Linked DNA regions of Oryctolagus cuniculus. The main gene of each other region encodes a partner of the protein of the gene in region 2 in a complex. Links are inferred from orthologs where the notes say so. Each region holds a gene or a part of one and is shown on either strand. Other genes may lie near its edges. The genes, in order: NUP62 and NUP58.

Region 1 (4,422 bases), on a different chromosome or scaffold from region 2:
TTGAAACCCCGCAGTGAATCGGGGCCACCAGGGCAGGCACAGCACACTGAGACCTGGAGAGGGGCTGAAGCAGGGGGCAGGGGCCGTGTCGGGGCAAGACCCCGCCTCACTCATCAACACCTGCTTCCCCAGGGGAGAGGCACCATGTCAGCGGGGGAGGGAGGGAGGGGTTGCCATGGAGAGGTTTCTCTGGGAACCAGGGAAAGCAGCCAGCGTGGGGGGCAGGGTGACGGATTCTGCCCCAGTCTAATGGCTACAGTAATATCTCAGGGACACAGGTCCTCTTTTCCGGGCTTTATCTGCACTGGTGGGAACTGGGGTCACTCCCCCTTCACAGATAAGCGCAGCGAGGCCTAGAGAACTTGAGGACCTTGCCCGAAGTCACACAGCTCACTAGGACTCTGACCACAGCCCGGCTCCCAGCTAGCCTCTCCTCGGTGCCACACAGCACCCCACCCACCCTCTGTGACACCCCAGGTCGTCGCACGACCTCCTGGGGCAGCTCAGCTCTCACAGAGGCATCCAAGGGGACTCCCACCCTGGGGCCCAAGAGGCTTGGAGTGAGGAGGGGCCCTGCTCTCGTCTGCCACCCAACTCTTCCAGCTGTGGCAGGGTGGGCAGGAGTCAGGGAACCCAGGGCCCTGCCCATGCACCTGCTGGGGGGGACCACCAGGGGGCCCCAAGTGTCCTGTGAGGCCTTTCCAGGGACACGTGCCAACCACAGGAGCGCCCAGCCCCTCCGGCTCAGAGCCCCTGGCTGATTAACCGGCTGCGGTTTCCCGCGTTCCTTCTGAATTACTCGCTGTCCTTTGAGACTGCGATCTCACAGGAAAAAAAAAAAAATCCAGCGTTTCCGTTTCCGTGGAACCAGCCGCTCCTGGACCATGGGCCAGCCCTAGACATCACCTGCGCCGTTCCAGGGGCCCAGGTACTCCTTGTGTCCCCGACACAGGCCCACGGGGCTGGGGGGACAGCTCTCACCTGCTGAGCCAGGTGCTGGTTCTGCTTGCACCCCCATTTCCCTGGAGGGGACAGCAGCACAGGCCACCAGGGCGAGTGACAGCAGCCAAGGGACGGAGCAACCCAGAACTGGCCCTGTCCTCTATCCCAGGCCCGGACCTGGGGCTCGGGGAGGAGGGTAGGCGGCACAACGGCCTCGCCAGTCCACAGCTGGAGTTCCGCCCTCCTCCTGTCTCCGTGTCACAGGTGCTGCGCTGGGTTACCCAGGCGGGCCCTGCGTACAGGCCCGCAGGTCTTTCCAGGGAGAGGCAGGAGGAGCAATGGGGGAGCCAGGCGACGGCACGATAGGAGGTGAGGAAGAGGCCCCCGCTGAAGGACACAGGTGGGCTCGCAGGCTGGGGACGAGCGTCTGCCCCGAGCCCCAGGAGCGCAGCGCTGTGCACCACCTCAGTCCCCTCCTTCCAGAGCTCTAAGGGAGCCAAGTGCGTGGCAACCTGTGACAGTAGAACAGGAAACCGAGAGAGGGTGACAGCAAGGATGCCCAGCCAGCTCGGCAGCGGGGGCCTGGCCTGGCTGTGAGCGCTCCTGCGGGGACTCTGAGCCGCCGGCCACGTGGCAGCCTGACCGCCTGCCCACCCCCACGCTGCCCTTTCTGCAGCGGAGCTGGCCTTGGCCTTCTGCCCTTGTTTGCCAGGACGCCCACCCCCAGCCCCTGCACCCTTGGTCTGCGTGACTGCTACCCTCCCTGACCCTGCGCAGCAGCCGCTGTATTGAATCTCCAACTTCTGCGCAAAAACAACTCTTTTGGGGGCCGGCGCTGTGGCACAGTGGGTTAACGCCCTGGCCTGAAGCTCCAGCATCCCATATGGGCACTGGTTCAAGACCCGGCTGCTCCACTTCCGATCCAGCTCTCTGCTGTGGCCTGGGAAAGCAGTGGAAGATGGCCCAAGTCCTTGGGCCCCTGCACCTGCATGGGAGACCTGGAAGAAGCTCCTGGCTCCTGGCTTTGGATCGGCGCAGCTCTGGCTGTTGTGGCCAATTGGGGAGTGAACCAGCAGAGGCAAGACCTCTCCCTCTCTCTGTGTAACTCTGACTTTCAAATTAAAAAAAAAAAAAAAAAAAAAAAAAGAAATCTTTTACAAAAATGTCCTGACCACTTCCAAGGTCGCAGCCTGGGGCCGTGAGGGACAATTCTGGGGAGGAGGTGCCTGACCTTGCCCTCCAATACAGAACAAAGTGTGGACGGAGCGGGATGAGTGAACACGCACAGACCTTGCGCCCCGTCGGCGCTGGGCTTCACCCGCCCCACTTCCGGCCCCCAGCCCTGCTCAGGAGGGCAGCTCTCCTGGGCCACTGAGCCGGGCCCCAGACGCGGTGGAGGTGGGAGGTGTGCGGGCCGCCTGGCTCGGACCCGTGCTGAGGCTCGGGACTGGAACCTGGGTCCTGGCTGATGCAAAACTTGGGGCCCTTTCCATCACGCCAAGCGCTACCTTGACTGGGAAACACGGGGGGCTGCGGCAACAGCGCAGGTGACAGGGGAGGGCAGGCTGGATCCACACAGCTCGGCAAACCTGAGGTGTGAGCTGAAGGTCCAGGCCTGGAGCCCGCTCAGGGCCCCGGGCCCTGACGGTGGGCTCTGCGCGCCTCTCCTACTTCCTGGCGCCTCAGCCTGGTCTCCGCAGCTGGCCCACGCCCGAGGCTCCATTTGGATTCTTGGGGCCCCACACAGGGGCTGGTCCCCTCCCCCTCCGAGCCCCTTACCAGGCTGCGTGGGGCCTCTCCCTCATGCAGGGCTAAGCGGGAGGGAGCCTAGCCGTTGCCAGGTGCTCCTGGGCCCCCAGAGAATCCTCTCGCTCCTCCCAGCAAAGAGCCACAGCTGATGCAACCTGCCTGCAATCGGCCGCCTCACTCCCCGACAGGTGCCTCCGCACCAAAAAAGGAGTCCCAGCAGCCACGGCCCAGGAGTGAAGGGGCCAGCGCCCCAACCCCAGAGACCACGACCCGGGTGGCAGGCAGCTGCGGAGGCCCCACCCGCGCACTAGCAGCGCAGGGCGCTAACTGGCGTCCACTTAGCACCACTGAGTCAAGCTGCTGGGGGCGGGGGGACGCGGGGCTCTCCTGGTGGGCATCTGCACTTCCAGTTATTCAAAACAGCCCACCCAGCCACCCCCTCAAAGGCCGCGTACCAAGCTGCGCCATGACGCCAGCGTCTCATCCGTGCGCCGAGCCGAGCCCCGGCGGCTCCACTTCCGCTGCAGCTCCCTGCGGATGCACCGGGACGGCCGCAGAAGACGGCCCGGGCGCCTGGGCCCCTGCACCCGCGGGGGAGACCTGCACGGAGCTCCAGGCTCCTGGCCTCAGCCTGGCTCTGCCCTGGCCACTGCGGCCGTTGGGAGAATGAACCAGCGGATGCAGTAGCCCTCCTGTAACTGTGCCTTTCAAATAAATTTTAAAAAGCTGAAGCATTTTCCATAAAGTACCGAACGGTCTTCAAAACGGTCAAGGCCAAGTGTGGGGCCACCGCCACAGAGCAGGGGGGCTGTGGAGGCCCAACGGGGAAGAGGGGACAGGCGTGAAGGGAGGGCGGCGTGCCGAGGCTCCTGGCCCGGGCTGGCGACTAACGTGCCACAGGACCACGTTCGCGGGGGCGCTGGGCGAGGCCACACAGACTCGCTGTACACCTCTCAACCTCCCTGTCAACCTCCATCACTCCCAAGCACGGCTTATTAAACACCCCCTCCCCGTGCATAAGGGGGCGGGGGGCGAGATTACGTGCCCCCTCCCCGTGCATAAGGGGGGGGGGAACGTGCCCCCTCCACGCCAGCGGCGTGGCCGCCACCCCACCAACACCTGCGCGTGCAAGTGGGGGAGACCGGCCAAGTCTCCCAGGGCAGCCATGGAGCCGGAACACACCCCCCACCACGGGAGACCTCGGCCCGGGAAGACCGGCCGGAGACCACGTGCTCAGAGTGGACAGGCCGGATCCCGGACGAACCGGGGCTGACCTCTAGGTGGAGGGGCGCAGGGTAGGAAGGCAGGCGTCTTCTGCAGCAGAGAACAGCCCCGGACCCACCGGGCTGGGGCAGGGCGGCCCCCAACCTCACGCCCTCCTGGGAACCGGCCGGAAGTGCGCGCCGCCCCCCGTTTCAGGCAGGGGTGGGGGGCGGCCGAGTGCTGTCTGAAAAGCAGTCCGGGCGAGCAGAGGCCAGGGGTCGGGGAGGGCAACAAGGCCCGAATGCCCGCGTCCACCACGTGCGGCGAGGCCGAGCAGGGTCCCCTAACCAGGACGCGGGCGCCTGTGTTCTGGATACAGCGAACTTATTCTGTTTAGAGAAAGGAGCCCGGAGAGTTCATTTTTTTTTTTTTTTTTTTTTTTTTGCCCCGGGGCCCCGCTGGCAGGTCCGGGACCTGAGTGGAACGCGGGCTGACGGTGACTCCGGGCCACGCGGCTTCTCGGGGTGG
Region 2 (3,804 bases):
GGCCGCCGCGGCCGGCGCACCGCGCTGATCCAATGGCAGGAGCCAGGTACTAATCCTGATCTCCCATGGGGTGCAGGGCCCAAGCACTTGGGCCATCCTCCACTGCACTCCCTGGCCACAGCAGAGAGCTGGCCTGGAAGAGGGGCAACCGGGACAGAATCCGGAGCCCCGACCGGGACTAGAACCTGGTGTGCCGGCGCCGCAAGGCGGAGGATTAGCCTAGTGAGCTGCGGCGCCGGCTTTACCTGATAATTTTTAAGGTCCTTTTAGAACAGAATACCATATCCAATGACCTGAACTGCTCCAACCTGACTATTTATTTAAACAATTGTCCCAATGAACCTTCTCATTTGTCTTGAGTAAGAGTATCTTTTGCATCACACCCTGAACAAAAATGTACATATTTAAGAAAAAAACAACTTTGCTGGTCATGTAGGTAAAACATGTCACTTCATCATAATCATAATTCATATTTTTATGGTGCTAGTGAAGTAAAACATTCTCTTCAAATGCTTATTAGGCAAATATACTTCTCCTTTTGTGAACTGCCTACTCACATGATTTGTAAGTTTTTATTACTGATTTCTATGAACTACTTTAACAGATTAATTCTCTCAGATATCAATTTCATATATTTGTAATTTCTAAAATAGACTAATAACATCTTGACTTCAGCAATGCTAACATGGATAAAAAAATAAAGCATTTTACTTTCAATCTTTTACATTTCACCTTTGGATATGAGATTTCATTTTTTACCTCTTTCAGCTGACTATAATTTATTTTTCTGTATTTTATTTCTGAAACTGGCACCCATCTTTTATAAGTAATGTTTTAGATTTGATAAGACAGTAATAAAAATAATTTTGTTTTTCAAAATAATTCATCATTTTCTAAATTAATGTATTGCTTAATATTGTTTATTATACTTTATAAATGTATGTGCTCACAAGTATGTATATATAAAACTTGGGCTTATTTCTGGATTAACAGAAATTAATCTAGTTTTGCCTCAGTAACAGACATGAACTACTACAAAACTTCCTAATAGTTCCCCACATCTATTCTTGCCTTTCTCTACATTTTTCTACATGACTGTCACAACATTCTTAATCTTAAAATATAAATCTCTTTAAAATCCTTGAGTAGGGATAGGCATCTGGTATATAGCAGTTATGATATCATTTAAGACTCCCAAATCCTCTATTGGTATGCCTGGGTTCTAGTCCCAGCTGCCCAATTCCAGCTTTCGACTAAGGCGGACCCTGGAAAACAACAGGTGATAAATCAAGTAGTTAGGTCCTTGTCACCCATGTGAGGGGCCTGTATCGAGTTTCTGGCTCCTGACTTCAGCCTGGCTCTTGTGGACATAAGGGGAATCAAGCAGCAAATGCGATATTCTAGCCTGCCTCTTTCTCTGCCTTTCAAATAAAACAATACAAAAACCCTTCAGTAGATTCCGAATGCCCTCAATATAATGACAAAACTGAACGTACCACACAAAGCTCTTCAGGACTTCTGGAATGTGACCTTTCTGGTCCCTGGACACACCTACAATTCTACCAGTCCATCTCACCTCTAATAGGCCTCTTGCTCCATGCTGGTCCCTCTTCACTGAATGCTGCTTCCTACCACTTTACCTGATTAAATCCCACTGATAACTGCCATCCAAAGCTAACTGATTAACACAGAGCTACTAGAGAAAAAGAGAAACTGGTTATATTATGGAAGAGAAGAGAGAAAAGGAAGAGAATTCCCTGACATGAGTAACAGATGAAGGAGAACTGGGACCATCCAACCCTATGTATTCTCTTTGTTCAACACCACCGAAGGCATGCTATGAGTACAGGGCGATGATGGCAGGGAAGAAAGAGAGGGAGCTTAATTTATTCATTTCTCTTACTTCTCTACAAAGTAAAAAAATAGGAACAAACACCTAAGTGAATTACTGACATGGACAAATGCTTCTAATGTATTATATGACAAAGAATAGATTACATAACAATATATATACTATGATCCTTTTTTAAAATATATATCAATATACATATTGATAGCTAAAAGACCACATGTACATTCAAATCTAAGTTATCTATAAACATAAAACCTTAAACAGTCAACACACACGCAATCTGTGACACATGAAGATAATGTAAAACTTAAAAGTAAAAACTGTACTACTGAAAAACAAATGTTCTTCAAAACAGGAATTTTTAGTAACCTGTAAGTTCCCAAACTGTTAGAACATAAAATTACTTACTCTTTTTATCTGATGAACTGCTAAAATCTATTCCACCAAGGCCTTCATTGCCTGCAGTTGAAGTAGCTGTTGAAGTTCCCAAAGTCAAGCCTAAAGCATTCTGTCCAAGTCCTACAAATGAAACAAACATCATTTCCAGCTTCATTGAAAGAGCTAAAACATCCTTAATGGAAAGCCATTCCTAGATCTGGGACTTAAAAGCAAGCTGCCTGACAAGGGAGTTAAGCTGTAAATGTACCAAGATTATTTAACTGCCACTTATTTTAATATATAAGACAAGATTCTCTGGAACAGTTTACAGGCTCCCTATTAAACAGGCTCTTTTCACTTCCTAATCAATCAGAGAATACTGAGAAAAGAGTAAAATGTATTTCTAAAATACAGCAAAGATGTTGAATTATATATAAAAAACATTTTATAACTCAGTAAAAAGAACAAGCAATCTGCACAAAAGGCCAAGAGAAGGATAAACTAAACTTAAATATAAAAATTTACCATTCTGAAGAATAAGTGCCATCAATTACCTGATGTAGCTGTGTTTGTGCCCTGGAAAAGCGAACCTCCCAAACCAGTTAAGCCGCCGCCTAGAGAAAGGCCTGTGGATGCAGTTGTAGTTGTGGCTGCTGTTCCACTCAAACTATTCAGAGTAAACCCTGTGGATGCTACAAAATTGAAACAATAAGCCTTCTACAGGCAACAGTATTTAAGAACACCATAGAAAAACCCAAGAAACAAAACAAAAAATTATTTCCGTAAGAATTGACTTTGGAAAAACTGCTTGCTAAAAATAAAATTATACATACTTATAAGAATAAAGAGAAATAGTAACTTCACAGCAAAAATCACTGGCAGAAATAAAGGCTTTGGATCGTTATTAGAATGGTACCAAATAGCTGATTCCAGAAAGCAGTAAAAAAAAATGTTTTAATCCAGGTCACCACCTTCATCTTCAAAATTAAATGAATCTTAAAGCAGGCAAGGCTTATGCAAAGTGTTTATCCTTCTGTCACCAAATGGCTCCTTGAAAACAAGACATCAGTAGCTTTACATTTTATCTCTCTGACCCTCTCCTGCCCTGCTATACTCTAACTACAGAGACCATTGGGTCTGCTGTTTTAATGCCTAGTGCTGACTTCTGACCCTTACAAATCAACAATTAAGTAGGTCAAAATTGCTGAATAGGAGTGGGTATATGGTACAGTAGTAAAGTTGCCATTTAGGATATCCGTATCCCACTTTGGAATACCTGGTTCAAATTCTACCTCCTTCACTTTTACAGGAAATATTTTAATTTTTTTTCTTAGACTTATTTATTTATTTGAAAGTCAAAGTTACACAGAGAGGATAGGCAGAGAGAGAGAGAGAGAGAGAGGTAGATAGGTAGGTCTTCCATTCACTGGTCCGCCCCCCAATTGGCCACAACGGCTGGAGCTGTGCCAATCCCAAGGCAGCGGCCAGGAGCTTCTTCCAGGTGTCCCACGTGCGTGCAGGGGCCCAAGGACTTGGGCCATCTTCTACAGCTTTCCCAGGCCATAGCTGAGAGC

What was found.
Region 1: NUP58 (region 2) and NUP62 share a complex: the UniProt entries of both Homo sapiens proteins name them as parts of the p62 complex. The link is inferred for Oryctolagus cuniculus from reciprocal best matches to the Homo sapiens genes NUP58 and NUP62.

What each region holds. Positions count from the first base shown.
Region 1 is NC_091449.1:7,660,471-7,664,892, reverse strand, and holds the start of NUP62 (nuclear pore glycoprotein p62), read right to left. Parts: upstream 2,858-4,422; 5' UTR 2,748-2,857; coding exon 2,722-2,747; intron 1-2,721. Other genes in the region: collagen, type I, alpha 1b-like, read left to right, coding at 3,158-3,214, 3,991-4,422. UniProt on the Homo sapiens protein: Essential component of the nuclear pore complex. The N-terminal is probably involved in nucleocytoplasmic transport.
Region 2 is NC_091440.1:95,338,231-95,342,034, reverse strand, and holds part of NUP58 (nucleoporin p58/p45), read right to left. Parts: intron 2,923-3,804; coding exon 2,785-2,922; intron 2,372-2,784; coding exon 2,261-2,371; intron 1-2,260. UniProt on the Homo sapiens protein: Component of the nuclear pore complex, a complex required for the trafficking across the nuclear membrane.